4 linked regions of the Stegostoma tigrinum genome follow. The protein of the gene in region 3 purifies or fractionates together with the protein of the main gene of each other region. This does not show direct contact. Links are inferred from orthologs where the notes say so. Each region holds a gene or a part of one and is shown on either strand. Other genes may lie near its edges.

Evidence for each region.
Region 1: the proteins of uri1 (region 3) and polr3d purify together in Homo sapiens (affinity purification with mass spectrometry; 3 studies listed by BioGRID and IntAct, with this or other methods). This does not show direct contact. The link is inferred for Stegostoma tigrinum from reciprocal best matches to the Homo sapiens genes URI1 and POLR3D.
Region 2: the proteins of uri1 (region 3) and polr2h purify together in Homo sapiens (affinity purification with mass spectrometry; 3 studies listed by BioGRID and IntAct, with this or other methods). This does not show direct contact. The link is inferred for Stegostoma tigrinum from reciprocal best matches to the Homo sapiens genes URI1 and POLR2H.
Region 4: the proteins of uri1 (region 3) and polr3e purify together in Homo sapiens (affinity purification with mass spectrometry; 4 studies listed by BioGRID and IntAct, with this or other methods). This does not show direct contact. The link is inferred for Stegostoma tigrinum from reciprocal best matches to the Homo sapiens genes URI1 and POLR3E.

Annotation. Positions count from the first base shown.
Region 1 is NC_081393.1:16,509,179-16,516,400, reverse strand, and holds the start of polr3d (DNA-directed RNA polymerase III subunit RPC4), read left to right. Parts: upstream 1-4,211; 5' UTR 4,212-4,430; intron 4,431-7,222. UniProt on the Homo sapiens protein: DNA-dependent RNA polymerase catalyzes the transcription of DNA into RNA using the four ribonucleoside triphosphates as substrates.
Region 2 is NC_081367.1:41,069,222-41,076,371, reverse strand, and holds the start of polr2h (DNA-directed RNA polymerases I, II, and III subunit RPABC3), read left to right. Parts: upstream 1-4,132; 5' UTR 4,133-4,240; coding exon 4,241-4,313; intron 4,314-6,960; coding exon 6,961-7,044; intron 7,045-7,150. UniProt on the Homo sapiens protein: DNA-dependent RNA polymerase catalyzes the transcription of DNA into RNA using the four ribonucleoside triphosphates as substrates.
Region 3 is NC_081369.1:32,684,897-32,691,775, forward strand, and holds the start of uri1 (unconventional prefoldin RPB5 interactor 1), read left to right. Parts: upstream 1-3,868; 5' UTR 3,869-4,176; coding exon 4,177-4,272; intron 4,273-6,879. UniProt on the Homo sapiens protein: Involved in gene transcription regulation. Acts as a transcriptional repressor in concert with the corepressor UXT to regulate androgen receptor (AR) transcription.
Region 4 is NC_081376.1:34,159,494-34,167,449, forward strand, and holds the start of polr3e (DNA-directed RNA polymerase III subunit RPC5), read left to right. Parts: upstream 1-4,954; 5' UTR 4,955-5,065; intron 5,066-5,205; 5' UTR 5,206-5,303; exon of another isoform or gene 5,304-5,308; intron 5,309-7,956. UniProt on the Homo sapiens protein: DNA-dependent RNA polymerase catalyzes the transcription of DNA into RNA using the four ribonucleoside triphosphates as substrates.

The sequences.
Region 1 (7,222 bases), on a different chromosome or scaffold from region 3:
GCCTTTGCTTAAGCAAAATTCATATAAGAATTAAAATTAATAATTGATCCTGTATCCACTGCCACTTGAAAAGAGTTGAAAACATCTACACCTTTTGAGTGTAGTAGTACTTCCTAACATCACTCCTACATTTAGCCCTAATTCCCAGGCCATGCCCCCTAGGTCTAGAATCCCCAACCAGTGGAAATAGTTTATCTTTATCTACCCTTTCTTTTCTTTGTATTATCTTGAAGCCTTTGATCAGGTCATCCCTTAATCTTCTGAATTCAACAGAAAACAGGCCTAATTTGTATAATGTCTCTTCATAACTTAACTCTGAAGACCAGGTATCATTCTTGTAAATCTACATTTTACCCCCTTTCAGGTTAATATATTCTTTCTCAGATGCCCACAGCAGGTCTTACCAGAGTTTTGTACATCCATAGCAAAACTTCTGCATCCTTGAACTCCAGTCCTCTAGATATAAAGGCCAGGATTCCATTAGGTTCCTTGATTATTTTCTGTGCCTGCTCATGACATTTTAAAGATGTTTGCAACTGAACCCCAAGTCTCTTTGGACAAACACTGTATTTAAGCATCCAGAAAGTACCCTGATTTGTCCTTGTCCAGACCAGAATTACCTTAGTTACCTCTGCAATTTCCCCAACACAGATGTTAGGCTAACTGGTCTGTAATTCCTTGGTTTTTGTCTTTTGCCCTTCTTAAAAAGCAGTGTGACATATTCAACTTTCCAATCCAGAGGGATGAGTCCTGTATCTAGAGAACTCTGAAAGATTATAGTTAGGACATCTACAATGGACTCTCCTATCTGCTTTAACACCCTTAGATAGAAACCGTCAGGTCCTGGGAGTTTATAAGTCTTTAATTCCATTAATTTCCTCAATGATTTACATACATTAATTTTATTCAGTCCCTGTTCCCAATCCACATTTAATTTTCTCAGACTTATGGCAAGCTGTTCTCTTTTTTAATCATAAAAACTCAGGTAAAGCAATTGTTCAACATGTCTGCCAATTCCTAGTGGTCATTGACAATATTCCCACTTTCGGTGAGGTTGCAGGCTTGCTCTCCAAGCCAGCATGTTTGATTGCAGATGTTTCGTCACTCTGCTAGGGGACAATGTCAGTGCGCTGACAGTGAAGCGTTGGTGTTCTGACCCATTTGTTATTTATATGCTTTGGTTTAGTAGGGTGGTGGTATGACTTCCAGTTTTGTTCTTCATTGGTTTGTATATCGGGTCCAGTTCACTGTGTTTGTTGACGGAGTTCCGGTTGGATTGCCAGGCCTCTAGGAATTCCCTGGCATGTCTCTACTTGGTTCGTGCTATTATGGATGTGTTGTCCCTGTCGAATCTGTGCCCTTCTTTTTCCATGTGCATTGAGACCAGTGAGAATTGGTCATGTCTCTTGGTGGCTACTTGGCATTCATGTATTCTTATTGCCAGTTTTCTTCCAATTTGGCCTATGTAATGTTTCTCACACATGGTATTTTGTATATTACATTTGTTGTATTGTTTGTGGGAATGGGGTCCTTTACATTCGTCAGTTGCTGTTGCAGGGTGGTTATTGGGTTGTGATCTACCCTGATACTTAGGGGCCTGAGTTGTCTTGTGGTCATCACTGATATGTTCCTAATGTATGGTTGGGTGACTAGTGTGTCTGGCCGTGTTGTGTCTTTCTGTTGTGGCCTGTCAGAGATAATGCCGCAATGTGCTATTCGAGTATGTACAATCCGAGCTACAAATCTCAAAAACCTTCCCACTTTCAGTCTTTAGTGGGTCAAAATTGTTGCCGACTACCCAATTTCCCTTTATGTAACTATAATGTTTCCTCTTTTTGATTTTGATATCCCTGGCAAGTTTTCTTTCACAGTTCCTTTTACTTGCTTGTATAAGTTGCTTTGTGGTCTTTTGCTGATCTTTGTATCTTTCCCATTCACCGGGATCTATGTTTCTTTTTGCATTTTTGTAAGCTCTTGATTTCAGTTTTATGTCTCTTGACCACTTTTATGTGAAGTGGAGCTTTTCCTCTTTGAGACATAGAGTCCGATAGCATGGAGACAGGCCCTTCGGCCCAAACTGGTCCATGCCAACCAAAATGTCCTACCACACTAACCCCATTTCCCTGCACTTGCCTCTGTCCTTCCAAACCTTTCCTATCCATGTATTCATCCAAATGCCTTTAAATGTTGTTAATGTACCCGCCTCAACCATTTCCCCTGGCAACTCATTCCATATGCGTACCATACTCTGTGTAAAAATATTGCTCCTCAGGTTCCCATGTATTCTTGCCCCCTTGCCTGAAACTGGTGCCATCTTGTCCTTAATTCCCCAAATTAGGGAAAAAGACTGATTGCATTCACCCCATCAATGCCTCTCATGATCTTATAGACTTATATAAGTTAGCCCCTCAGTCTTCTACGCTCTAATGTAAACAGTCCTAGCTTGTCCAGCCTCTGCCTATAACTCAGTCCTATAGCTGAGTCCTGTCAATATCCTTGTAAATTTCTTCTGCAATCTTTCCAGTTTAATAACATCCTTACTATAACAAGGTGATCAAAACTGAACACAATATTTCAAGTGCAGCCTCATCAACATCCTGTACAACTGCAACATAACTTCCCAACATCTATACTCAGTGCCCTCACTGATGAAGGCCAGTGTTCCAAAAGCCTTTCTCACTGCCCTGTCTACCTGTGACTCCACTTTCAGAGAACCGTGCACCTGAACTCCCAAGTCCCTCTGTTCCACTACACTCCATTCACCATGAAACTCCGGCATTGACGTTCCAAAATGCAACACCTCACACTTATCTGTTTTAAATTCCATTTGCCATTTCTGAGCCCAGTTCCCCAGCTGATCAAAATCCTGCTGTAATTTCTGATAACTTTCCTCACTGTCCACGATATCTTCGTGTCATCCCCAAACTTACTATTCTCAATCAAATCATTGATACAGATAACAAATAGCAATGGTCCCAGCACTGGCCCCTGAGGCACACCACTAGCCACCAGTCCGACAAGCATCCTTTCACTATTACTCTCTCTAGTTCTTATCAACAAGCTGACTGTGTATCCAATTTGCCAGATCTCCCTGGGTTCCATGCAACCTAATCTTCCAGAGCAGACGGTATAAACTGATTTTGTATTAAATGTTTCTTTAAACATCCTCCACTGCTCTTTAGTTGTTTTACTCGTGAGCAGATTTGCCTAGTTTACTGTGGATAGTCTCTGTGTCATGTCATTCAAGTCAGTCTTACCTAAATGTAAAACTCTTCATGCTGCTCATAAAGCTGCCTCTGTTTTATGCTTTCAAATGCTGCATCGAATTCAATCATGTTATGATCAGTATTTGATAAACGGTTGTGCACAATTAGGTAACTAACTAAATCTGATTCATTACTCATGAATAAATCAAATTTTGTTTGTCCCCTTGTTGCATTCAGAACCAAATGCTGTAGGAAACTGTCCCAGATGCACTCTGGAAATTCACTACCTGTGTGACGGTGCTTGTCTGCCTCTCCCAATCAATATTAAAGTTAAACTTCCCCCATTAATGCTATTCTGGATTAGCGGACCCTTGCCTTAATTTATGCTGAAATTTCGCAGTTGTGGCAGTATCTGAGGGGAGAGTCATCGAATCCCTACATTGATGAAGTAGGCCATTTGGCCCATCGAGTCCACATTGATCCTCCCACCCAGACACACCACCCTACCCTGTCGTAGCAAGCCTGTACTTCCAATGCCTGATCCACCTAGCCTGCACATCCCTGGGCACTACGGACAAATTAGTCACTGGACTCGACACGTTAACTCAACTTGTTCCCCACTTTTTAAAAAATCAGATCTCCAGCGTCCGCAGTCCTTTGTTTTAATTTTAGTGCCTAATTTCTGTATTTATAAAATCAAGCTGCTCTAGGGGTTCTGTACACATTTACTACTGATGCATTACATGAAAATGGCATCAGATCAGTGGAATGCTGACAGCTGAGCCCCAAAACAAAACTGTTGACGCACTTCCAATGGATGCTACATATTTTTACCCAGTAATACTCCCTATTGTCACTCGCTTTCCGTTGGAGCTCCTTTGCAACAAGATCAATGCAGAGCTACAATTTTCATTCAGTTTCTTCACTTTCCCACCGAACGAACCGGCAACATTGCCTTCAGCGCCGCCCCGCTGCCAGGCGCCATCTTGTTGCGGGGCAAAATGCCGGCCACCTGACCCCCTAGGGCGCAGGCGGAGAGCTGGATTTGCCCCGTACAAACATGGCGGCTCACAGCGGCCTCGCTCGGACGTGAAACGGCTGGAGGACCGAGACGGGAAAAAGAAACAAGAGTAAAGAGGCGGTAATCGGCCTTTGGGGAGAACTCGAGAGCAGTGTGGGCTCGCGGCCGTGCTGCCAGGTTCGAGGATTACAGGCCTTCATCAGGTAACAAAGTGAGAAGCTGGATGAGCACAGGAGGCCAAGCAGCATCTCAGGAGCAGGAAGGCTGACGTTTCGGGCCTAGACCCTTCATCAGATAATTGCTGCCCAGTGATCCAGGAAGCTGTAAGGCCTGAGAGTGCCTAAGGGTAGGGGACGAGGGGTAGGAGCTGGGAAAATGGGAGAGGGGCAAGGTTGGGGAGGGGAAGAACGGGGGAAGAGGAGGAGCGGGGAAAGGAGAAAGGGAGGAGGGGGGTGAGGTGAGGACAGGGAAGAGGGAGGAGCTGGGGGGGCGAGGTTGGGAAGTGGGGGGTGGCGAGGTTGGGAAGTCGGAGGAGAGGGGGAGGGGCAACTGGGGAGAACGGGGAAGTGGGAGGAGCTGGGGAAGTGGGGGGGTAAGGTTGGGGAGGGGAGGAGGTGGGGAAGGGGGCAAATGGGGGAAGAAAGAGGAGCTGGGGAAGTGGGAGGGGGCAAGCGGGGGAAAGAGGGAGGGGCTGGGGAAGTGGGGGGGGCAAGCGGGGGAAAGAGGGTGGGGCTGGGGAAGTGGGGGGGGCAAGCGGGGGAAAGAGGGAGGGGCTGGGGAAGTAGGGGGGGCAAGCGGGGGAAAGAGGGAGGGGCTGGGGAAGTGGGGGGGGCAAGCGGGGGAAAGAGGGAGGGGCTGGGGAAGTGGGAGGGGGCAAGCGGGGGAAAGAGGGAGGGGCTGGGGAAGAGGGAGGGGCTGGGGAAGTGGGTGGGGGCAAGCGGGGGGAAGAGGGAGGGGCTGGGGAAGTGGGTGGGGGCAAGCGGGGGGAAGAGGGAGGAGCTGGGGAAGTGGGAGGGGGCAAGCGGGGGGAAGAGGGAGGGGCTGGGGAAGTGGGTGGGGGCAAGTGGGGGGAAGAGGGAGGAGCTGGGTAAGTGGGAGGGGGCAAGCGGGGGGGAAGAGGGAGGAGCTGGGTAAGTGGGAGGGGGCAAGCGGGGGAAGAGGGAGGAGCTGGGTAAGTGGGAGGGGGGAAGTGGGAGGGGGCAAGTGGGGGAAGAGGGAGGAGCGGGGAAGTGGGAGGAAGTGGGAGGGGGCAAGCGGGGGGAAGAGGGAGGAGCTGGGTAAGTGGGAGGGGGGAAGTGGGAGGGGGCAAGTGGGGGAAGAGGGAGGAGCGGGGAAGTGGGAGGGGGCAAGCGGGGGGAAGAGGGAGGAGCTGGGGAAGTGGGAGGGGGCAAGTGGGAGGGGGCAAGTGGGGGGAAGAGGGAGGAGCGGGGAAGTGGGAGGGGGCAAGCGGGGGGAAGAGGGAGGAGCGGGGCAAGCGGGGGGAAGAGGGAGGAGCTGGGTAAGTGGGAGGAGGCAAGCAGGGGGAAGAGGGAGGAGCTGGGGAAGTGGGAGGAGGCAAGCAGGGGTAAGAGGGAGGAGCTGGGGAAGTGGGAGGGGGCAAGTGGGGGAAGAGGGAGGAGCTGGGGAAGTGGGAGGGGGCAAGTGGGGGGAAGAGGGAGGAGCTGGGGAAGTGGGAGGGGGCAAGTGGGGGGAAGAGGGAGGGGCTGGGCAAGTGGGAGGGGGCAAGCGGGGGGCAGAGGAGGAGGGGGGTGAGGGGAAAGGGGCAAGCGGGGAGAACGGAGAAAGAGGGAGGAGCTGGGGAAGTGGGAGGGGGGTAAGGTTGGGAAGGGGGCAAGGGGTAGGATGGGGGAAGAGGGAGGTGCTGGGGAAGGGGGAGGTGGGTAAGGATGGGAAGGGGGAGGGGGAGGGGGAAAGGTTGGCAAGGGGCAGGTGGGAGGGGATATTGGCAGGGCAGTGGAGATGCAGGGAGGGGGATTGGCTGGAGGGGAGCTGGGGAGCAAGGAGAGATGGGGGACTGTGGGAGGGCGGAAGGGAAGAGGAGGTGGGGGAAGGGGGAGACAGGGAAGGAAGGACGGATTGGGGAGGGAAAGGAAGGGGTTTAGGAAGGAGTAGTGAGAGGAGAGAAAGCAGCTGGGGAAGAGGTGGGGAAGGGAAGTTAAGGGGAGCTATAGGATGTTGGGTGGAAAGGAGGAGGGAGGGGACAGTTGTTAGGAGTGTTGGGGGATGGCGGAAATTGGGATGGGGAAGACCATTTGGAGGGGCTGGGGAGTTGAAGCTTCACAAAGACTGGTCTTATCACGAAATCCTCTTTGATGTTGGAAAGCATCCAGCTACGCAAAACATTTACATCCGAGCCTAATTTTACCTCCCTCCCCTTTTAGTTCTGCCAAGGTCGTCCCTAGTTTTTGATTGTGGTTGGGGTGTAAATCCAGTCGGATGCTTTGTCTTAGACGGGTTCAGTTTCTCGAGTGTTGTGTATAAATGTTTACCCCAAGTGTCTCAAAATATTGAATCAAGTAAACAAAACAAAAGTTGTTTGGAGCTGTGTACTGTAAGATTCAGTGAGACAGCACAACTGAAAGACTGGCTGAAGCTACATGGCAGCTATTGCCTTGCTGTTGGAAGCTGGAGTCTCAGCAGATGTAAGAAAAAGGCAATCCCCTGAATATGTCGATTGAAAATATTTGCCTCAGAATGGCAGCACCACAGTCTGCTTCTTGTAGCACTCTGTTCCTGGCTGCTTGCGTTACATCACTTTGTGCTTCTGCAAAGAGTTGGCATCGATTTGATGGGCCAAATGCAGTGTTTCTGTGAGCCACTCTGTATTCCACAGTGGCTTTTGATCTGCTGTTTTATGATGTCCATGGCAGAAGCTTGATCCTGGCTGTATTCATCACAGCAGCATTTTGGTTCTTTGACCAGCTTGGAGCAACCTCTGCAGAGGTTGCCAAATTTGTGATAATACATATGCCCACGGTTATGGTAAAGCTTGGAG
Region 2 (7,150 bases), on a different chromosome or scaffold from region 3:
AATTTACAGAGGGATACTGATAGGATAGGAGAATGGTCAGAATCTAGCAGATAGAGTTCAATGTAGATAAATGCAAGGGTGTCCAAGTGGCCCGACAAATAAGAGGGCAAATTATTATTTAATTGGGAAGCACATCCAAAGTGCATCAGTGCAGCGGCATCTGAGTGTGCTTCTGCATGAATCACAGAAAGTGGGTATGCAGGTGCAGCATATAACAAGAAAAGCAAATGGAATCCCAGCATTTGCTGCAGGAGGACTAGATTATAAAAGTAAAGAAGTGCTGTTACAATTATATGAGGTGTTAGTGAGAACACATTTGGAGTGTTGTGTCCAGCTTTGGTCTTCTTGCTCAAGAAAGAATGTAGTGGCACTGGAGACAGTTCAGAAGAGGTTCACCAAGTTGACTCCAGGGATGAAAGGGCTGTCATACAAGGAGTGGTTGAATAGCTGCGGCTTCTTCTCACTGGAGTTCAAAAGAATGAGGTGGGATTTGACTGAGGTATATAAAATGCTAAAGCGGACTAATAAGGTGGACGTTGGATGTATGTTCCTTCTTGTGGGACAGTCTCGAACAATAGGTCATAGATATAGCATGGGAGCAGGTAAGTTCAAAATTGAGATGGGGGAAACTACTTCTCTCATAGGGTTGTGATTCTGTGAAACTCATTGCTCCAGATTGCAGTGAAGGCAGAATCAATTAACAAATTCAAGAAAAAAATAGTACTGTTTGTGATGAAAAGCGGGAGAAAGGGAACTGTGAAGCAGGCAGGAAAGCGGCATTGAGACCAGGATAAGATCAGCCATGATCATTTTAAATGGTGGAGCAGGCCTGAAGGGCTGAATTGCCTACTCATACTCCTAACTCCTATGTTCCCCTCTCTGATGCTGAATGAACTGTGCTTAGCAAGGGACGTAACCAGCTTAATGAATTTCAGGCACAACATGGTGCTAAACTCTTCTTTTGTTGTCTTTGTCTCTGTGCCCATGACCCTGGACAGGAATCCTCTCCCAGCCACAAAGGCTGTTTCCCCTATCTCCAATGCATCCCCTCCACCTGGACTCCTCTGTCTGGTCTTTTGCAAGCTCTTCATTTCTTCATTGAGAACTGCTGGTGTGACACTGGCCACCTTAATTTCTCTAATCCCTTCACCCACTCACATCTATCTCCCTCTGAACTTGCTGAACTCCGTTCTCTCAGGTCTTGTTATCAAAACTATCAATAACGGTTGAGTGGCTGTCATCTGCCATGCTAACTAGTACCTGGCAGAGTGCCAACTCTCAGACACTTCCTCCTATCTCCCCCTGGATCATGACCTGACATTGATCATTGAACATCGGGCTGTAGTCTCCAGGACTATCACTGACCTCATCTCCTTCAGAGATCTCTCCTTCACAGCTCCCAATTCATAGGCCCCCAGCCACGTATAACCCGCTTTTCAAAATCCACAATCAGGACTGCCGAGGCAGGCCCATCATTTTAGCCTGTTCTTACTCCACTGAACTTATTTCTTCTTATTTTGACTCTATTTTTACCCTTCCTTGTTAAGTGTCTTTCAACTTCCATTCATGATTCCTCTGATGCTTTATGTTGGTTCTATAATGATGGTCCTAGCCACCTCTTCTTCACCATGGGCATTAAAGGCCTTAGCAAAGCCATCCCCCATCAGGATGGTCTGAAGGCTCTCCATTTTCTCCCTTGAAAAGAAGCTAATACCATCATACTTCACCTGGCTGAGCTTGTTCTCACTTTGAACAACGTTTCCTTTAACTCATCTGATTTACTGCAAGTCAAAGGTGAAGCTCATTGATACTTGCACGGGCCTCGGATTTGGCCATCTCTCTAATGTAGTGTTTGGAATCATTCCTTTTTCCAGTTGTACTCAGGCTCCCACTCACAATTCTATCTCTGATGTATTGATGATGCCTTTGGTGTTGCTTCCTGCTCTTGTCCAGAATTAGGACAATTCATCAGTTTTATTTATAGTTCTGAAGAAGAGGCATAGCCAGGCTCAAAATACTAACTCTGCTTCTGCCCACAGATGCTGATAGTCCAGCTGAGTTTCTCCTGCATTTTCTGTGTTTATTTCAGATTTCCTTAATCCACAGTATTTTACTTTTATTGTTACTTTGTTAAGGCTGATGCAAGAGAAATACCTCTTGCAGTATCCCACAAAGACAGGATGTTTTTCTTGCTGTAGGAGAGACAGAGCATGGGTTGGCACTGATGCCTGGAAACGTAGTAGCAGCTGCATCTTGGCTGACACCAAGCACCCTTGTGTTGCATTTTGGGTCCGCTGGCACAATTCTCAGCCTGATAACTGGTAGAATGACATTAACAAGATTGTACAACACCTCAGAATCAGACTCGGGACAGGTTAGAAGCTACCAAATTTTGTAACCTAAGAGAGCCTTCTGAGCAAAAACCTTGGCGTTCATCAAGGTAAAATGCTGAAAGTTTGCTGACTGCCTCCTATTGGAGGAACTATTCAAGTGCTGCATTGACTCTCAAAGTTCCAGCATTAACCATTAACTGGATGTGAGTTTGCTCGCTGAGCTGGAAGGTTAGTTTTCAGACGTTTCGTCACCATTCTAGGTAACATCATCAGTGAGCCTCCGACGAAGCGCTGGTGTTATGTCCCGCTTTCTATTTATCTGGTTAGGTTTCCTTGGGTTGGGATTAAATCTACCATCCCCTGAGAAAAAGAACAGGAAATGACATCACCAACCCAAGGAAACCTAACCAGATAAATAGAAAGCGGGACATAACACCAGCGCTTCGTCGGAGGCTCACTGATGATGTTACCTAGAATGGTGACGAAACGTCTGAAAACTAACCTTCCAGCTCAGCGAGCAAACTCACATCCAGAACCTCAACCTGAGCTACAAATCTTCTCAAAACTCGTTAACCATTAACTATATGAAGTTGGTACTAAGCATTATAGCAGAGTTGGAGACAATTCCCACAAAAACCTGTAATCAAGCACTTTCATACTCCAAAAACTTTGCTTGAGGCTTTCAACTTTCATATAGTTGCCACCTCTTCAACTGTCAATGACACCTTTCACCACAGTCTCTAGGAGAAGTGGTGTATTTTCCACTTGCTCAGAACTTCCTCAATTCTTAGATATGGATTTCAGTGCTGGAGCTTTCACTAAGCTTTCAGTTGGTAATCACTTATCCCAGTGGAATGTGTCTGTACTGACACCCAAAACAGGAAAGGCAAGCTCTGATTCTGTTTAGGCAAAGCCTGAAGCTGGACAGCTGAAATTTTTCACCAGGAAAGACTTGAGGAGCAATGGCAACAGTTTTTCCACTGACTCTTCAATTTGACAGCTCAATGTGGTGAAGCTGGCAAGGAAACCAGTTATATTCATCATCTTATTACTCCATAGGATGTGAAGAATGCTGTCAAGGCCAGCATTTATGGCCTGGCTATTTGTCTGAGAGCAGTCTGTGTGTCGTCAGCACACCCACAGTACAGAAGTTCTTGGATATTGTCCCAGCCACAGTGAAGAAACATGACATATTTCCTCGTTCGGATGGCGTGACTTGGAAGGGAAATTGTAGATTGTGATGTTCTCATATGTGCCTGTTGACTTTGTCCTGCTGGGTCACAGGGAGAAGTTTTGGTCCAAAAAAACTTGGCAAGATGCAGCAGTACATCTTGTAGACGGCATATACTGCTTTTATTGCGTGTTGGTGGAATGAGTGAATGTTGCAGGCGGTGGACAAATGTGGGTGGATGCTGCTTCCAGGAAGAATGCTGAGCCCAGCCTTGGTTACTAGCAAGTGTGGACTTGGTCTTGAAGGCCGCACGAAGAGACAGCCCGTTAATGCTATTTCTGAATCCATAGCTGGCTAACAGACCCAGAGAAGTCCCAAACAATTTATAAGTTTCAGATTTACAGTGCCTGTCGTATTTTTCATATGTTTCCATCAACGTTTAAGAAACTGTTCAAAATATAAAGACCTAAAAGAACTAAGCTTGTTTATTTACGTTTAGGAGAAAGAACCTTTCAGTAAACCCCATGTACTGAAACACAAAGCAATGCCTTGATTAAAGATGGCGGAACTGCGGTCATATACTCACATAGAGCTGCTGCCAATCTACTGGGAGGCAGGGAAGGTCTGCCAGTATCCCGGCATACTCCGAGAGATTTGTCGTGGCCTGTTTGGCAGTAGTTTGAAATTCTCTTGCTTGTGTTTGCTAGAAGTTAACAGTAATTTTATTTGTACAAGGATGGCAGGAATTTTATTTGAGGATATCTTTGATGTGAAGGATATTGACCCGGAAGGTGTAAAGTTTGACAGAGGTAAGGGAAAGAGATGAGACCTGCTGCCTTTGCTTCCTGGGTGTTCGAGTTCCCCAAATGAATGGGTTCAGGCAGTTCATGTCCAACATAGGGAAGGGAATAGAGTGATTCAGCTTTCGTCCTCCACTTCTAACTAGCATTTTTTACAGTCTTCCAGTGCTTCGTTTAATACTAGTATCTAGTTCATTGATTTACTCCTACGACCAATTCCTGTGATGTTGTATATGTGTTTTCCTGCAATTGTGGAAAGTTGCAAAAGCCCCATTTCGGACCGAGCAAACCCAAACTGCTTCCATAGCAGGCAATAATTCAGATCATATTTACACCTCCTGTTCTTATCCTTACATTTTTTTTAATTAAACCTAATTTTCTAATCAAGCTGTTCAGGGATGTTATTACACCGACCGTTTTATTCACTGTTCTACTTTCACTATTCAGTCTCAACACGCATGTGGCCCTTCCCCAACCATGAATGTGGCTGGAATTGAATTCCCACAGCCTCGAAACAAATAAAAAAAAAACTTCTTTTGCATTTGGATTCCAATAATATTCCTCATGAAGAATAGTCTTTATTAATTAGGTTGTTTCTACTTACTGTAATTCAGCTTCTGCTGTAGAAAATAGACACAGGACAGGTACCGTTCCATTAAATTGGTGGAAAAAGCTTCAAAAAACATGCTTCACTCTTTAATAATTTTAAATTAATATTGTATTGCATCAAATATGTGTCCTATCAAGCCAGTATCCAATTTTTAAACCTTTGTATTTTCTCATGGGCATTAATGACTTGTTATCACTTATATACAATTGACATTAGTACCTATTGCTTTATTTACAATATATCTTGTATGGAAAAACTTAAATTTCCATTATAATTTGCTTTTACTGATGTGCTGCTTTTAATTAGCTGTGGAGCCATAATACTCTTACATCTTTCTGCACTTCCTCAACAACAAAACAACTTCTGTTTGAAAAATAATTTTGTTTTTTAACTAGAATGCATCACTTCATGCTTTGCGATTATCTGCCTAAATTCATCTGCATTTTAAATTCTTATTCATAACTTTGTTACCTTAGAATTTGATTAGTGAGAAGGCTTCCTATTTGACTTCCCATATTCTGTCCTCTGTGAACTTGAAATCACTTCTATTGCTTGTGGCCTAACTTGCACAGAATTCTTTTTTTCATATCATTCTTGTCCTCACTGACCTACTTTGTTTGCTGTTTCAGCAATGCCTTGATTTTAAAATTCACATCCTTCTTTTCAGATCCTTAGCCTACTCATCCTGAACACTGTAATTTTAACCCTTTGAGATGCCTGCATTTCTTCATTTCTGGCCTTTTGAGCTTCCCTGATTTTAGAACATAAGACAAAGGAGTGGAAGTAAGGCCATTCGGCCCATCAAGTCCACTCCGCCATTTAAATCATGGCTGATGGGCATTTCAACTCCACTTCCCTGCACTCTCCCCATAGCCCTTGATTCCTTTTGAGGTCAAGAATTTGTCGATCTCTGCCTTGAAGGCATCCAACGTCCCGACCTCCACTGCACTCTGCGGCAATGAATTTCACAAGCCCAACACTCTCTGGCTGAAGAAGTGTCGTCTCATTTCAGTTTTAATTTTACACCCTCTAATTCTAAGGCTGTGCCCACGGGTCCTAGTCTCCCCGCCTAACGGAAACAACTTCCAAGCGTCCACCCCTTCTAAACCAAATATTATCTTGTAATTACTTCATTTGTGGTTGCGCCTTACGTTTTGCTCAAGAGTTCTCTTTCTAAATCTCCCTCTGTCTTCTAGCTCTCATTTATCCTTTAGGATGCTTCCAAAACATGACTCTGACCAATCTTTTGATTGTCCAACTTACTGTCTTCTGATGTGGCCGGTGCCAAATTTTGTTAATGCTGGTATGCTTTCCCAAATTAACAATGTTGTTTAAATGCATGTTGTTGTGTTCTACCTGCCAATTTTTCATACATTCTCCAATTTAACAACATTGCATAATATGTTCCTTTTAGTCTGTTTAATTCAAAATAGGATTTTTTTCAATGTGCAAATGTGACACTGCTTTCTCTATTCCTACATCCAGTTCATCGATAAATGCAGTGAAGATAAGTGCATCCACAGTTGTACTATGAAAAATACCACTAAGCCTTTACCAGAATGATCCAAACTTCCCCAACTCCTACAGTTCTCCTTTTGACCAATTTTTTTTTATCTTCTCCCCTCATTCAAAGCTCGGTTATCTCCTTTAATATTCTTTCACGTGACATCTTGTCAAATACTCCTTGAAGTCTTTGTACACTGCACTAAATATACTGCACCTCCATGTTTGCTTCCATGCTAAGTAATAATGCATAACAATTTTAAAATATGATGAACAAAATATACTCTTGCCTAAATTTGGCTTTTCTGCTTGAATTAATTTGTTGCCCTTTGGGCTGGTGTGAATCTTGTGTATTTTTAATGAGGGAGAATATACTATAATACAAAAAAAATTAATTGACAATAAATATGCAATCTTAACAAGATATTACTCTTACAAAAAGATAGTGTTTGATTGTGAATGATAGTTCTGATAAACTGATCAGTAAAAGCAATATTTAGATACCTTTGGGCATATAATAGAACTTCTGTGTCATTTTTACAGTTTCTCGCTTACATTGTGAAAGTGAATCCTTTAAAATGGACCTGATTCTTGATGTAAATATACAGATTTACCCTGTTGAACTTGGTAAGAATTACAATTAATACACATTTTTGTAGTTACTCTGTAATAAACTTCAGATTCAGTTACAATCCAGCTGAATCAACATTGCTATAATGCTCGAGTTTGAAAA
Region 3 (6,879 bases):
ACCCTTCAACTCTCTCAACATTCTTGTAAATCTTTCAAGTTTTGCAAAATCCTCTCCAATAGGTGGATATTAACCTAATGATGTGATATTGCCTGTCTTCCACAACAGGATGCACGTTAAGCACTGAGCCTGCTCTACCACTGACTACGATCATGGCTGACTGTGGATCTCAACTCCATCTTTTCAAAACAACGACTGAACACTTGTTAGGGTGAAGAATCTGATACATATTTACCAGAGAATAAAATTACCAAAATTGTTATCAGGGAACATCTGTTTATAAAATTAAAAGATTAAATATGTAAAAATAAAGGCATTGGTCCTGATGGGCTGAACGAATTTCTCAAATCCATGTTTTATGTTAATCTGTACCTTCAAAAGGATATTTCTCAAAGCGGGAAAAATAGGATACGATGTATGTTTAATTGTGAATACTTTTATATAAAGTGGAACTTAAAGAGGCAGAGAAACAAACAATAATTTTGATTCAGATGATCAAAACATTACTTCAAACAAAAATGGAATTTTAGACAAGATGTTAAATGCTGATCCATTTTAAAAATAGCACTTTTCTACAATGTTATTTTAGCAGTAACCAAAGACCTGTTACTCCACTATATTCAATAAGTTAACTTAATTTACTACATTTTGAATATAGCATGAATCCTGTTCGAAATGGATTTAATGGAAAACTCTTGAAGTCTTGAACTAATCTTCCCTGCATTTGTCTCAAATAAAATGTTGTGCATGATCAGTCTCTCACACAGTCATTTGTCTTCAATTGGATTATCTGTATACAAGTCATATCCAGGTAATATACTGTTTTTTCTAAGTAAGACATATGAAATTGCAGAAAGAAAGCAAAAGCAGTCTATCCAAGCTTGGATTAAAGTAACTATTAACTCTGCAAGTGCATATTTCATTCTTTTATTTTTGTGTTTCTGCTTCTCTTTACCTGTCATGCTAGTACAGACATGAAGGTTTTACTTTGTAAAATATTCACAATAAAATGGCTAACATATCATATGAGTTTGGCAACATCAACTCAAAGTAAAACTCAAAAAAACTTTAAGGTATGAACAGCCAGAGTTTCTTGTTGTAACAAGAGCTCAAGCAGAGGTGGCAACAGTGATGGGGGCACTGAGCAAGGAACTAAGCAGTTTTCAGAGACACCCGGCAGCAAGCAGTGACATTGAGACAGGCAGCTGGAGTAGATGAATAGAACTAGATAGACAAAGAAAGCATGTCTTAGGTAATGAGAGGGCTGATGAGAAAGAAGCCAGAAAAAGCAGTTCCTCAGCCTAATGTCATTCACACAGTCAATCCCCGGACACAGTATAAACAGTTGTTTGTTTATCTTTTATATCTCTTCCTGTTGTAAAGACATGATGCCACTGGAATCAAGAAGATAAAGAATAAATAAAGAAATGATTTTAATATCCCTGTTTCATGATTTTTGCGTTATTTGTGTTAGAACTTCATCTGACATTTTTGACACAGTCGGCAGGATTCTACTACACAGATATCAAGATACTGAGGAGCTGAGACTGAGAATGTCAGTGATGGAGGCTGAAGATGTTCCAGGGTCACACTGACCCTGATTCCTTAAGAAATTCACACTACAGTTCAGCAGAGTATCACTGATTGGTGAGGTCCAAACTAGGTCCAGACAGGTAGAACCAGGTGTGGTTTCACCTTTGCCATCTATCTCAAAAAAGGATCACCCACAGTTTCAACATCAGTAGACCGTACCAATACAGGAAGGCTCAGCACCCACCTAGAGGTCAGTAGTCCAGCAAATGACATGGAGGAAAGCAGATAACTTAATTGTGTTGCAGAACCTGAGGTGTCAGTGAGCATTGGTTCAAGTGAAAGTGGAGTTGGAGTGTTGCAGAACTGATGAAGGATCGCTGGACCCAAAACGTTAACTCTGTTTTCTACCTGCCAATGCTGCCAGAACTGCTGAGTTTTTCCAGCAATTTCTGGTTTTGTTTTTAAGATGAGACTGGTATCTCTGGCTGAACGGTAATGTGAAAAAAGCAAAGGAAAGGAAAATCAAGCATGTTATGAGCATCTGGATAGGCTCAGAGTAGACACCCTGATAACAAACAAAGAGTCCAAAAACAGTCCATTCCATGAACTAGGCATGTGTCCCTGAGCAAAGTGAACTTGCTGCAGCATTACAATGACAGGTGTTCGTGCAGACTAAGGTGCATTACTGAAATCCAGAAGAGTCCTGTAAATAGATCGAAATGTGCCATGGGGATCACAGATGATGTGGGGTGCATGTGGCCGGTACCCATGGTCTTTAACAGGATGTTGGTGCCTAGTATCCAACATGGAGGCTTTTTGGAGCAAATGGCGAGATGAACTCTCTCCAAAACACACTTGGCCTAAATAGTTTTTCCAAGTGAAGCAGCATTTCCTCCAGAGCTTCCCCCTATCGTGTGTATTGTATTCGCTGCACCTAGTGTGACCTATTCTACATTGGAGAAACCAAATGCAGACTGGGTAACCATTTTGCAGTACACCTCCAGTTCATGTGCAAGCATAACCCCAACCTGCCCGTAGCCAATCACTTTAACACAGCATCCTGCTTACACGTTCACTTGTTTGTCCTCTGCATGCTGTGGTGCTCCAGTGAACCACAGTGAAAACTGCAGGAGCAATATTTCACTTCTAACTAGGCACTTTACAACATTCTGGGCTCAATATTGAGTTCAACACCTTCAAATTGTGAGCCCATTCCTTCCCTCTCTCTCAGCTTTGCTTGTTACATGCTGTCATCCTGTCCTCTCTCCCCTTTCCCCACTCCAGTGGAGCAGTCTGTTCTTTCCAGTCTGGTACTTCGACATGCATTGTTCTGTCATTCTCACATTCCAACCACTTGATCTGAACAACTAGTATTTGTTCTTCCCCAGCACTGTAACCGCCCTATTACATAAATGCTGTCCTCTCCAAACTTCTTTTTAGCTCTGATGAAGAGTCATCGAGATTCAAAACATTAGCTTGCTTTTTCTCCATGAATGTTGCCTGTCACGCTGTGATCACTAGCATTTTTTGATTTTAGTTCTTCACACTGAAGCATCTCTGCAATATCCTCACTGTTCAGCCTCCCATCCTGCTTTGTACCATTTACAAAGTTGCAGATATTGCATTGAGTTACTTCATGTTGTGAGTAGCTGGGGTCCAAGCTCTGATCTCTGCAGTATCCCTCTATTCACTGGCTGTCATTCAGAAAATGACCCAATTATTCCTGCTCTTTGTTTCCAGTGTGTCACTTGATTCTCTATCCACCACCCTCAAACACAGTTCGAAGGCCTTGCTGAACGTCTCACCTGAATCGATCTACAAATTATCTTTCTATTGACCACGTTGCCCAGAGCTTGGTAAGGTTCAGTCCAAAGAGGTTGACTTAAGTTGAGAGTAATTCTCCAAGAACCAGCTGTATAAATTTCACAGCGTTTAACCTAGGTGCATCCATTCAAGAGTGAAGTCTTCATTCACTGAATACTTAAGCGGGTTCTTTCTGGAGATGTCACCAACCTCGGTAGCCATCTTAAACAACCTGAATTTTACCCATTTTTAAAATGAAAGACAATTCTAAAAAACTACGCATATGAACTTAATGTGAAGTCATAGGCAAAAGAAACCTTCAGTGTACGGAACAACGATAGTACGTTCATGGGGGACACACCTGTTTGACTCCCCTCACAACAAATCCTCATACCTGCTCATTGCACCTGCACTACTTCACGGCGCGTACACGCTGAAGATCTTGCGCACGCGCAGCTCCCTTCACGGTGTCAAGTGCTCATTAGTGACGTTTCCAGTTGCGGCCCGGGCCTAATGTCACGTGCCCAGTCAGCCCCGCCTCCTGTGTCAGGTGCGTGCTCCGGACCGTCCCGAAGCAAGATGGCGTGGGGCGGCGGGTCTTGCTAACACCGAGCGGCGTCGTCGAGAAAAAGAAAGCTGCGCTTCGAGCTTCTTGGGTGAATGATGCGAGTGTGAAATGTTTTCCGCTCCGACAGTGTGGATGACAAGACCTGCTCTCTCTATGCGGACGCGGAGTGAGGAGTTGTGCAGCTGTAGTTATCACATGCATAAACATTTCTTTAGGACTCCCAGTTCCTGAGTGTTTGTCAAACACACGCTCGGCCTCCGGCTCAGGAGGAAATGGCAGACTCGCAGCATCGGCCTTGTGCCGCCGCCGGCAAACCGCCCCAGTCCCAGCCACTGACTCTTTCACGGCTCCGAGAAGAGCATGGAAAGGTAAAGGCCGTAAATAAGCGGCGGCGGCGGCCATTGTATTAAAATCAGGCGGAAGGACGAGGAGAAAGAGCCTCGGATGCAGCGGGTTTTTTTTCGGGCACCGGCCTGTGGGCCCCGGTTTTGGTTTGGTAGGGGCCCGCCCTGTTTTGGTTAAAATGTCACCGCCCCCTCTGCCCAGATCCGCTGTTACCTTATTTACTGGTGGCTCAGACAGAACCCCGCTGCCCGGTCGAGCGGAATCTGGGCTGGGTTGTGATTCAGATCGGCCTCTTTTTGTTTGCACTGATTGGTCCGGCTCAGAAATCTCCTGTCAGCGAAGCGTGTGCATTTTTATAAGAGAGAAAAATACATTTGCTGTACGTAACGTGAATTAGAGTTTTAAACTCAATGCAGTGGAAACAGGAAGTCACCTTTTTGCCTTTGCGTGTAATGTCATGATACTCCCATCTTTCTGGGAGTTTCATTTCATTTTTCCCGTGAGATGAGCAGAATGATTATTTTTTAAAAAGGTGACAATGTTTAGATGTTAGATAACAAGGTGTAGAGCTGGATGGACACAGCAGGCTAAGCAGCATCAGAAGAGCAGGAAAGCTGACGTTTTGGGCCTGGACGCTGAAGAATGGTCCAGACTGGAATTGTCAGCTTTCCTCCTCTGCTGCTTGGCCTCCTGTGTTCATCCAGCTCTGCACCTTGTTATTTCAGATTCTCCAGCATTGGCAGTTCCAACTATCTCTGTTTAGATGATAGACCTCGCTTTCTGATGTTTTGAATCTCAAGATTTAGTGTGTATCTGACAAGGTAGATGCTGAGGTTTCCCCAAGATGCAGAATTGAGGAGAGTAGTATCACAATAAGCAATCAATAATCAAAACTGAAATCAGGAAGAATTTTCTCATGCACTGGATTGTGACTCTTTGCAATTTTCTGCTCTCTATCATGCGGTAGGGTCACTTGACTGTTCAATGTTACATTTCATGGGAATGAGAGGATATGGAAATCAGGTAGGAGATTTGAGGTGAAATCTAAAACCAACTGCAACTGAATGGTGGAGAAGCTCATTGGCCATATATTTTCGTTTGTTTTTATAATGTCAGTGTGACATTGTGACAGTTCTGACTGTCACCTTTTCATCTGACTCAGTTTTCTATAATGTTTATAGTTCCCTCTAATTCTTATTTTTCTAACTTTCTCTGTTTTCTACTTGAATTTTCCTAATAAAACCTAGTCCATAGGCTCATGTCCAAGCATGCTTTCAATTATCATCTTTCTTTCTGTAATAATTTATCTACAGACCGGACAGTGACTGTCGGCTGGAAGGTATTACCAGTACCTATTTGTCTTCTGACATGCTCACATTCAGCAGTAGGCACTCGATAATAGCCAGGAGCTCTGAGTCAGTAGACCTTGTGCTTCATACCCCATAATGGCAGTGAAGCCAACAAGAGTACACCTTCCTGAACAGTATCCCTGAACCTATTTATCCCCCTATCTGTGTAGCTGGTATCTGGACAAACTCTCTTTGAACTATTGGGGAAACTTTGTTTAGTTATTTGACTAGTTAGTACAGTAATTCAAAACTAACTTCACTTTGTGTTGCTGTGACAAAGTTTCATAACAGGAGCTCAATTGCAATAATTTCAAAATGTAGAAATAACTGCTTGATAATATATTAGGTGCTTTAATAGGAGTAATTTCATGTCTTACTGTTCTAATGTATTTTGTCAAATGTTCAAGTGAGTTTAGTGATGAGTGATATCAGGTGATGTAAAAGGAAGAGACGGTAGGAACTGCACATGCTGGAGAATCTGAGATAACAAGGTGTAGAGCTGGATGAACGTAGCAGGCGAAGCAGCACCAGAGGAGCAGGAAAGCTGACGTTTTGGGGTCTAGGCCTGAAATGTCAGTCAGCTTTCCTGCTCCTCTGCTTGGCCTGCTGTGTTCATCCAGCTCTACGCCTTATCTATGTAAAAGGGAGAACTGACTTCAAGTTTTTGAGACAAACTAACATCGGAGGGTTGGTGTGCAAAATGAAAATTACACCTAAATGAATACTTGTATTAAGAGTTTACAGCATTTTTTATGCATATCAAAGTTTTAGCAAATATCCATGCTTGAATCATAAGCTACGAGGATTGTTATGGAACCATGTTTTAAATGAGTGTAAAATGAAGGATGTGTAACCCACTTAACAGCAGGCTAGGAGTATTTCAAGATCTCTTGGAGACGCACATATTGACACAGGAATGATGTCAGGTGTTCACACTTGAAAACAATGGTAATAGTCTCTGAGATCACAAATAGGGTCTCTCGATGGCTGAGAAATATGTTGTAAGTATTAGGTTGTCAACTTTTGTGCTGACAACCGTCAGATTACTTGTAAGATTGAAAATAATTTGGATCAAAATATCTAAGTATTTCTACTTCTGTGAAATACATGCTTCTTCCATTGTCGATAAGTCAGAGCAAAAATAGACTTTTCAGCCCACGGAGTCTGTTCTGCCATTTCATCATGACTGATTTTCTCAGCCCATTCTCTTGCTTTTTTTCCTTGACCCACTTACCAGTCAAGAATCCATCTATCTCAATCTTAAATATGCTCAACAATTTG
Region 4 (7,956 bases), on a different chromosome or scaffold from region 3:
CGTAGTGGTAGTATGGCGCACTGACCTCTACATCGCTGAGGCCAAACGCCAAATCTCCGACACCTCTTCATATTGCCCCCTTGACCATGACCCCACCCCCGAGCATCAAACCATCATCTCCAACACCATCCATGACCTCATCACCTCAGGGGACCTCCCATCCACAGCCTCCAACCTTATTGTTCCCCAACCCCGCACGGCCCATTTCTATCTCCTTCCCAAAATCCACAAACCTGCCTGCCCTGATCGACCCATTGTCTCAGCCTGTTCCTGCCGCAACGAACTCATCTCCACCTATCTGGACTCCATTTTCTACCCTTTGATCCAGGATCTCCCGAATTACGTCTGTAACACCACCCACGCCCTCCACCTCCTCCAGAATTACCAATTCCCTGGCCCCCAACACTTCATTTTCACCATGGACGTCCAGTCCCTATACACCTGTATTCCTAATGCAGATGGCCTCAAGGCCCTCCGCTTCTTCCTGTCCCACAGGCCCGACCAGTCCCCCTCCACCGACACCCTCATCCGCCTAGCTGAACACGTCCTCACCCTCAAGAACTTCCCTTTCGATTCCTCCCACTTCCTACAGACAAGGGGGGTGGCCATGGGTACCCGCGTGGCCAAGCTATGCCTGCCTCTTTGTAGGTTACGTGGAACAGTCCCTCTTCCGCACCTACACAGGCCCCAAATCTCACCTCTTCCTCCGTTACATTGATGACTGTATCGGCGCCGTCTCTTGGTCCCCAGAGGAACTCGAACAGTTCATCCACTTCACCAACACCTTCCACCCCAACCTCAAGTTCACCTGGGCCATCTCCAACACATCCCTCACCTTCCCAGACCTCCCGGTCTCCATCTCAGGTAACCAGCTAGAAACTGATGTCCATTTCAAGCCCACTGACTAGCTAGAATACACCTCCTCCCGCCCACCCTCCCGCAAAAATTCCATTCCCTATTCCCAATTCCTCTGCATCTGCTCCCAGGATGAGGCATTCCACTCCTGCACATCCCAGATGTCCAAGTTCTTGAAGGACCGCAACTTTCCCCTTGCAGTGGTCGAGAACACATTTGACCGCGTCTCCCGCAACACATCCCTCACACCCCGCCCCCGCCACAACCACCCCAAGAGGATCCCCCTCATTCTCACACACCACCCCACCAACCTCCAAATACAACGCATCATCCTCCGACACTTCCGCCATCTACTATCCGACCCCACCACCCAAGCCATTTTTCCATCCCCACCCCTGTCTGCTTTCTGGAGAGAGTACTCGCTCCGTGACTCCCTTGTCCGCTCCACACTCCCCTCCAACCCCACCACACCCGGCACCTTACCCTGCAACCACAGGAAATGCTACACTTGCCCCCACATCTCCTCCCTCACCCCCATCCCAGGCCCCAAGATGACTTTCCACCTCAAGCGGATGTTCACCTGCACATCTGCCAATGTGGTATACTGTATCCACGGTACCCCGTGCAGCTTCCTCTATATTGGGGAAACCAAGCAGAGGCAGAACGCCTCCGCTCGGTTCGCAATAAACAACTGCACCTCCCAGTCGCAAACCATTTCCACTCCCCCTCCCATTCTCTAGATGACATGTCCATCATGGGCCTCCTGCACTGCCACAATGATGCCACCCGAAGGTTGCAGGAACAGCAACTCATATTCCGCCTGGGAACCCTGCAGCCTAATGGTATCAATGTGGACTTCACAAGCTTCAAAATCTCCCCTTCCCCCACTGCATCCCTAAACCAGCCCAGTTCGTCCCCTCCCCCCACCGCATCCCAAAACCAGCCCAGCTCTTCCCCTTCCCCCACTGCATCCCAAAACCAGTCCAACCTGTCTCTGCCTCCCTAACCGGTTCTTCCTCTCACCCATCCCTTCCTCCCACCCCAAGCTGCACCCCCATCTTCTACCTACTAACCTCCTCCCACCTCCTTGACCAGTCCGTCTTCCCTGGACTGACCTATCCCCTCCCTACCTCCCCACCTATACTCTCTCCACCTATCTTCTTTACTCTCCATCTTCGGTCCGCCTCCCCCTCTCTCCCTATTTATTCCAGTTCCCTCCCCCCATCCCCCTCTCTGATGAAGGGTCTAGGCCCGAAACGTCAGCTTTTGTGCTCCTGAGATGCTGCTGGGCCTGCTGTGTTCGTCCAGCCTCACATTTCTTTACAATGGTGCACTGGGTCCTCCTGGCGCCCAGATGACTGCTTTACGTCTGCTCCGCGATCCCCTTTGGCCGCCCGGAGACAGTATTAGGTAGGCACTGGAGCCCCTTACGGCCGGAGGACCATATTACACGTACACATGAACTCAACACACCCCCAACCAAGATCACAAAGTGTGTAGCTGTATGAACACAGCAGGCCAAGCAGCATCTCAGGAGCACAAAAGCTGACATTTCGGGCCTAGACCCTTCATCAGAGAGGGGGATGGGGAGAGGGAACTGGAATAAATAGGGAGAGAGGGGGAGGTGGACCGAAGATGGAGAGAAAAGAAGATAGGTGGAGAGAGTGTAGGTGGGGAGGTAGGGAGGGGATAAGTCAGTCCAGGGAAGACGGACAGGTCAAGGAGGTGGGATGAGGTTAGTAGGTAGATGGGGGTGCGGCTTGGGGTGGGAGGAAGGGATGGATGAGAGGAAGAACAGGTTAGGGAGGCAGAGACTGATACCATTGTAACGAGGTCCTCCGGCTGTCGTATGGGTTGGTGCTCCTGAGTGAACTGACCTCCGGCCGCCAGGGGACCTAGCATACTCATGAAACGCGGCCTCAAGGCCCTCCGCTTCTTCCTGTCCCGCAGGCCCGACCAGGCCCCCTCCACCGGCACTCTCATCCGCCTAACTGAACTCGTCCTCACACTCAACAACTTCTCTTTTGACTCCTCCCACTTCCTACAGACTAAGGGGGTGGCCATGGGCACCCGCATGGGCCCCAGCTATGCCTGCCTCTTTGTAGGTTACGTGGAACAGTCCCTCTTCCGCACCTACACAGGCCCCAAACCCCACCTCTTCCTCCGGTACATTGATGACTGTATCGGCGCTGCCTCTTGCTCCCCAGAGGAGCTCGAACAGTTCATCCACTTCACCAACACCTTCCACCCCAACCTTCAGTTCACCTGGGCCATCTCCAGCACATCCCTCACCTTCCTGGACCTCTCAGTCTCCATCTCAGGCAACCAGCTTGTAACTGATGTCCATTTCAAGCCCACCGACTCCCACAGCTACCTAGAATACACCTCCTCCCACCCACCCTCCTGCAAAAATTCCATCCCCTATTCCCAATTCCTCCGCCTCCGCCGCATCTGCTCCCACGATAAGACATTCCACTCCCGCACATCCCAGATGTCCAAGTTCTTTAAGGACCGCAACTTTCCCCCCACGGTGATTGAGAACGCCCTTGACCGCGTCTCCCGCATTTCCCGCGACACATCCCTCACACCCCGCCCCCGCCACAACCGCCCCAAGAGGATCCCCCTCGTTCTCACACACCACCCTACCAACCTCCGGATACAACGCATTATCCTCCGACACTTCCGCCATTTACAATCCGACCCCACCACCCAAGACATTTTTCCATCCCCTCCCCTGTCTGCTTTCCGGAGAGACCACTCTCTCCGTGACTCCCTTGTTCGCTCCACACTGCCCTCCAACCCCACCACACCCGGCACCTTCCCCTGCAACCGCAGGAAATGCTACACTTGTCCCCACACCTCCTCCCTCACCCCCATCCCAGGCCCCAAGATGACATTCCACATTAAGCAGAGGTTCACCTGCACATCTGCCAATGTGGTATACTGCATCCACTGTACCCGGTGCGGCTTCCTCTACATTGGGGAAACCAAGCGGAGGCTTGGGGACCGCTTTGCAGAACACCTCCGCTCAGTTCGCAACAAACAACTGCACCTCCCAGTCGCCAACCATTTCCACTCCCCCTCCCATTCTCTTGATGACATGTCCATCATGGGCCTCCTGCTCTGCCACAATAATGCCACCCGAAGGTTGCAGGAACAGCAACTCATATTCCGCCTGGGAACCCTGCAGCCATATGGTATCAATGTGGACTTCACCAGCTTCAAAATCTCCCCTTCCCCTACTGCATCCCTAAACCAGCCCAGTGCATCCCCTCCCCCCACTGCACCACACAACCAGCCCAGCTCTTCCCCCCCACCCACTGCATCCCAAAACCAGTCCAACCTGTCTCTGCCTCCCTAACCGGTTCTTCCTCTCACCCATCCCTTCCTCCCACCCCAAGCCGCACCTCCAGCTACCTACTAACCTCATCCCACCTCCTTGACCTGTCCGTCTTCCCTGGACTGACCTATCCCCTCCCTACCTCCCCACCTGTACTCTCCTCTCCACCTATCTTCTTTACTCTCCATCTTCGGTCCGCCTCCCCCTCTCTCCCTATTTATTCCAGTTCCCTCTCCCCACTCCCCTCTCTGATGAAGGGTCTAGGCCCGAAACGTCAGCTTTTGTGCTCCTGAGATGCTGCTTGGCCTGCTGTGTTCATCCAGCCTCACATTTTATTATCATGAAACGCGGATCAGGTGGACCCAGTGTACCCATGTAATGCAGTCCTCCGGCCGTCAGGGAGACACAGTGTACCGATGTTACGCGGTCCTCCGGCCGTCAGGGGGACCCAGCGTACCAATGGAACGCGGTCCTCCGGCCGTCAGGGGGACCCAGCGTACCCATGGAACGCGATCCTCCGGCCGTCAGGGGGACCCAGCGTACCAATGGAACGCGGTCCTCCGGCCGTCAGGGGGACCCAGCGAACCCATGGAACGCGGTCCTCCGGCCGTCAGGGGGACCCAGCGTACCCATGGAACGCGGTCCTCCGGCCGTCAGGGGGACCCAGCGTACCCATGGAACGCGGTCCTCCGGCCGTCAGGGGGACCCAGCGTACCCATGGAACGCGGTCCTCCGGCCGTCAGGGGGACCCAGCGTACCCATGGAACGCGGTCTGAGGATATGAGTGACCCACGTGTCGGCTCCATGGTTGCTGGTAGTTTCATCCATTTCGCCGGCACCGCCTGAGGGAACGGGCGGCTGGGGACAGTGGTGAGTACTCGGGTTAGGATTGTGGGTTTGGCCGGGCCCCAGTTGGCATTAAGTCAGCGGCCTCGGCCTGAAGTTTAGGCGGTTCCCCTGTGATGAATCGGCTTCTGACCTGCCTCTGTTTCTCCCTGTCTCCTGTACAGGCCGGCTCCTGGGACCTCCATCCCCCAATGAGGCCGCTCCATCCCCGTGGTGTTAGTGGTCGGCGAGGTCAGGAGTGCCGCCCGGGTACCTGCATCAGGTGAGGTAACTGCTGGCCTGTCAGGATGGGAGGGAGCGGCTTCCGGCACCTCTGGCTTTAGCTGCAGTAGCTTCTTCCCCTTTCATTGCATCAGGTAGGGCTGGGTGTAGAGTGGGACTGTGCAGCCTGTGAGGAAAGTCGCAACCTCAGCGAGATGAGGATAGAAACCTCACAGTGCTCCAAAGCCGATGAGTTAAATAAGTGTGGTCACCATGGTAATGTAGGAAACTCACTAGTTAGCAAGCGCACAGCAAGATCCCATAGCCAACCGTAATACGGTAATTGCCCGATGTTCTGTTCTATTGATTTTGATTGAAAGGTAAATGTTGTCCAAGATACCAGGGACGACGCCTTCCATTCTTTTCCTCAAATAGATCTTTTGAAAGGTAGTCCCTCAGTCTCCTCCAACAGTGCAGTACCACCTCAATATTGAACCTCCTGTAATGCAGTGTTCCTCCAGTACTGTTCTTTGGCATTTGCAGCACTCGGGTTGTCATTTACCTTTTTTTTACTCAGGCCTCTGGAGTGAGTTCCTGACTCAGGCAAGACTGCAGCCCCAAACTCTAAAGTAATGTACAGTGTGCCAGTAGCTCCCTGATCGGTTGTTAACTAAATGAGGATGAGAAAACTTTCCTTTTCTGCGATCTTCAATTACATTGTCATTTGCTGTCCTGTTTTCACATGGGTCATTCATTGCAATTTACAATCATTGTACTTTTTGCATAATGTTTATCAATTGTAAACATACCATAACTCTTTGAGCAGTTTATGTAAGTGCATCTATTACAATACTCTTGGTCTTGTTGAGCTACTAAATAATATTTACAGAGCCTCAGGTAAGGAAAACATCAACATTATTTAATAATCATCTTGCTATGGCTTCATCTTGGTCCTGAGGCTGCAGTGGAGACTAAGACCATGTGACATTGCATCACTTTTATTAGCATATCACATTCAGACATAATTTATCATTCTATACTCCACCCAGTTTCTGATTTGACTGATCATGTTCCTATTCGCTCCCCAAGTGTCTGACTTCGCTGCTTTGGTTGGTAAATGAAATCTGCCATTTGTACCTCATAGTGTCATAGAAATGTTTAGCAAGGAAACTCATCCGTGCTGACAAGATATCTTAAATTAATCTAACCCTGTTTGTCAGCTTTTGGCCCATATCCCCCTCAAACCCTTCCTATTCATATACCCATCCAGATGCCTTTTAAATGTTGTAATTGTACCAGCCTTTTCCACTTTCTCTGGCGGTTCATTCCATCCACACACCACCCTCAGCATGAAAATGCTGCTCCTTGGGTCCCTTTTTAATTCTCTCCGCTCTCACCTTAAACCTGTGCCCTCTAGTTTTGGACTCCACCACCCCAGGGAAAAGACCTTGTTTATTTACCTCATGCGTGCCCCTCATGATTTTATAAACCTCTGAGATCACCTCCCAGCCTCTCATCATCTAGTGAAAATAGTCCCAATCCATTCAGCCTCTCTTTATAGCTCAATTCATCCAAACTGACAGCATCCTTGTAAATCTTATCTGAATTCTTTCAAGCTTCACAATATCCTTCTCATAGCAGGGAGACCAGAATCACATGGAGTATTCCAAAAGTGGCCGAACCTATGTCCTGTACAGCCACAACATGACCTCCAACTCCTATACACAATGCACTGTCCAATAAGGGCAAGCTTACCAAACACTCCTTTCACTATCCTATCTACATTCAAATCTATTTCCAAGGACTATGAACCTGCACTGTGAAGAAAAGCAGTGGAACCAGCAGCGATACTTCTTGCACACCACTGGTCACAGGCCTCCAGTCTGAAAAGCAACCCTCCACCTTCATCGTCTGTCTTCTACTTTCTAGCCAATTCTGTATCCAAATGACTAGTTCTCCCTGTATTCCATGTGATCTAACCTTGCTATCACATGAGGAACCTTGTCAAATGCCTTTCCTAAATCCATATGGATCACATCCACCACTGCCGTCATCAGTCCTCTTCGTTACTACTTCAAAAAACTCAATTAAGTCATTGAGACACAATTTCTCTCTCACAAAGCCATGTTGACAATCGCTAATCAGTCCTTATTTTTCGAAATACATGTAAATCCTGTCCCTCGGAATTCCCTCCAACATCCAATGTCAGGCTCACCAGTCTGCAGTTCCCTGCTTTTTCCTTTACCACCTTTCTTAAATAGTGGCACCACATTAACCAACCGCCAGTCTTCCGGCACCTCCCCTGTGGCTATCGATGGTACACATATCTGAGCAAGGGGCCCAGCAATCACTTCCCTCGCCCTTCACAGAGTTCTAGTGTACACCTGATCAGGTCCCGGGGATTTAATCTACCTTTTACCTGGTCTGGTCTGAGGGTGGCACGGTGGCTCGGTGGTTAGCACTGCAGCCTTACTGTGCCAGTGACCCAGGTTCAGCTCCAGCCTTTGGCAACTGTCTGGCCTTTGCACATTCTTCCTGTGGCTGCAGCTGTCACCTTCCTGTGGGATGTGCCACTTTCTTCCTGCAGTCCAAAGATGTGCAGATTAGGTGGATGGGCATGCTAAATTCCCCTTAGTGTGCATAGATGTGTAGATTAGGTGGATTAACCATGAGAGATGTCGGGTTACGGGACTAGGGTAGAGGGGTGGGATGCT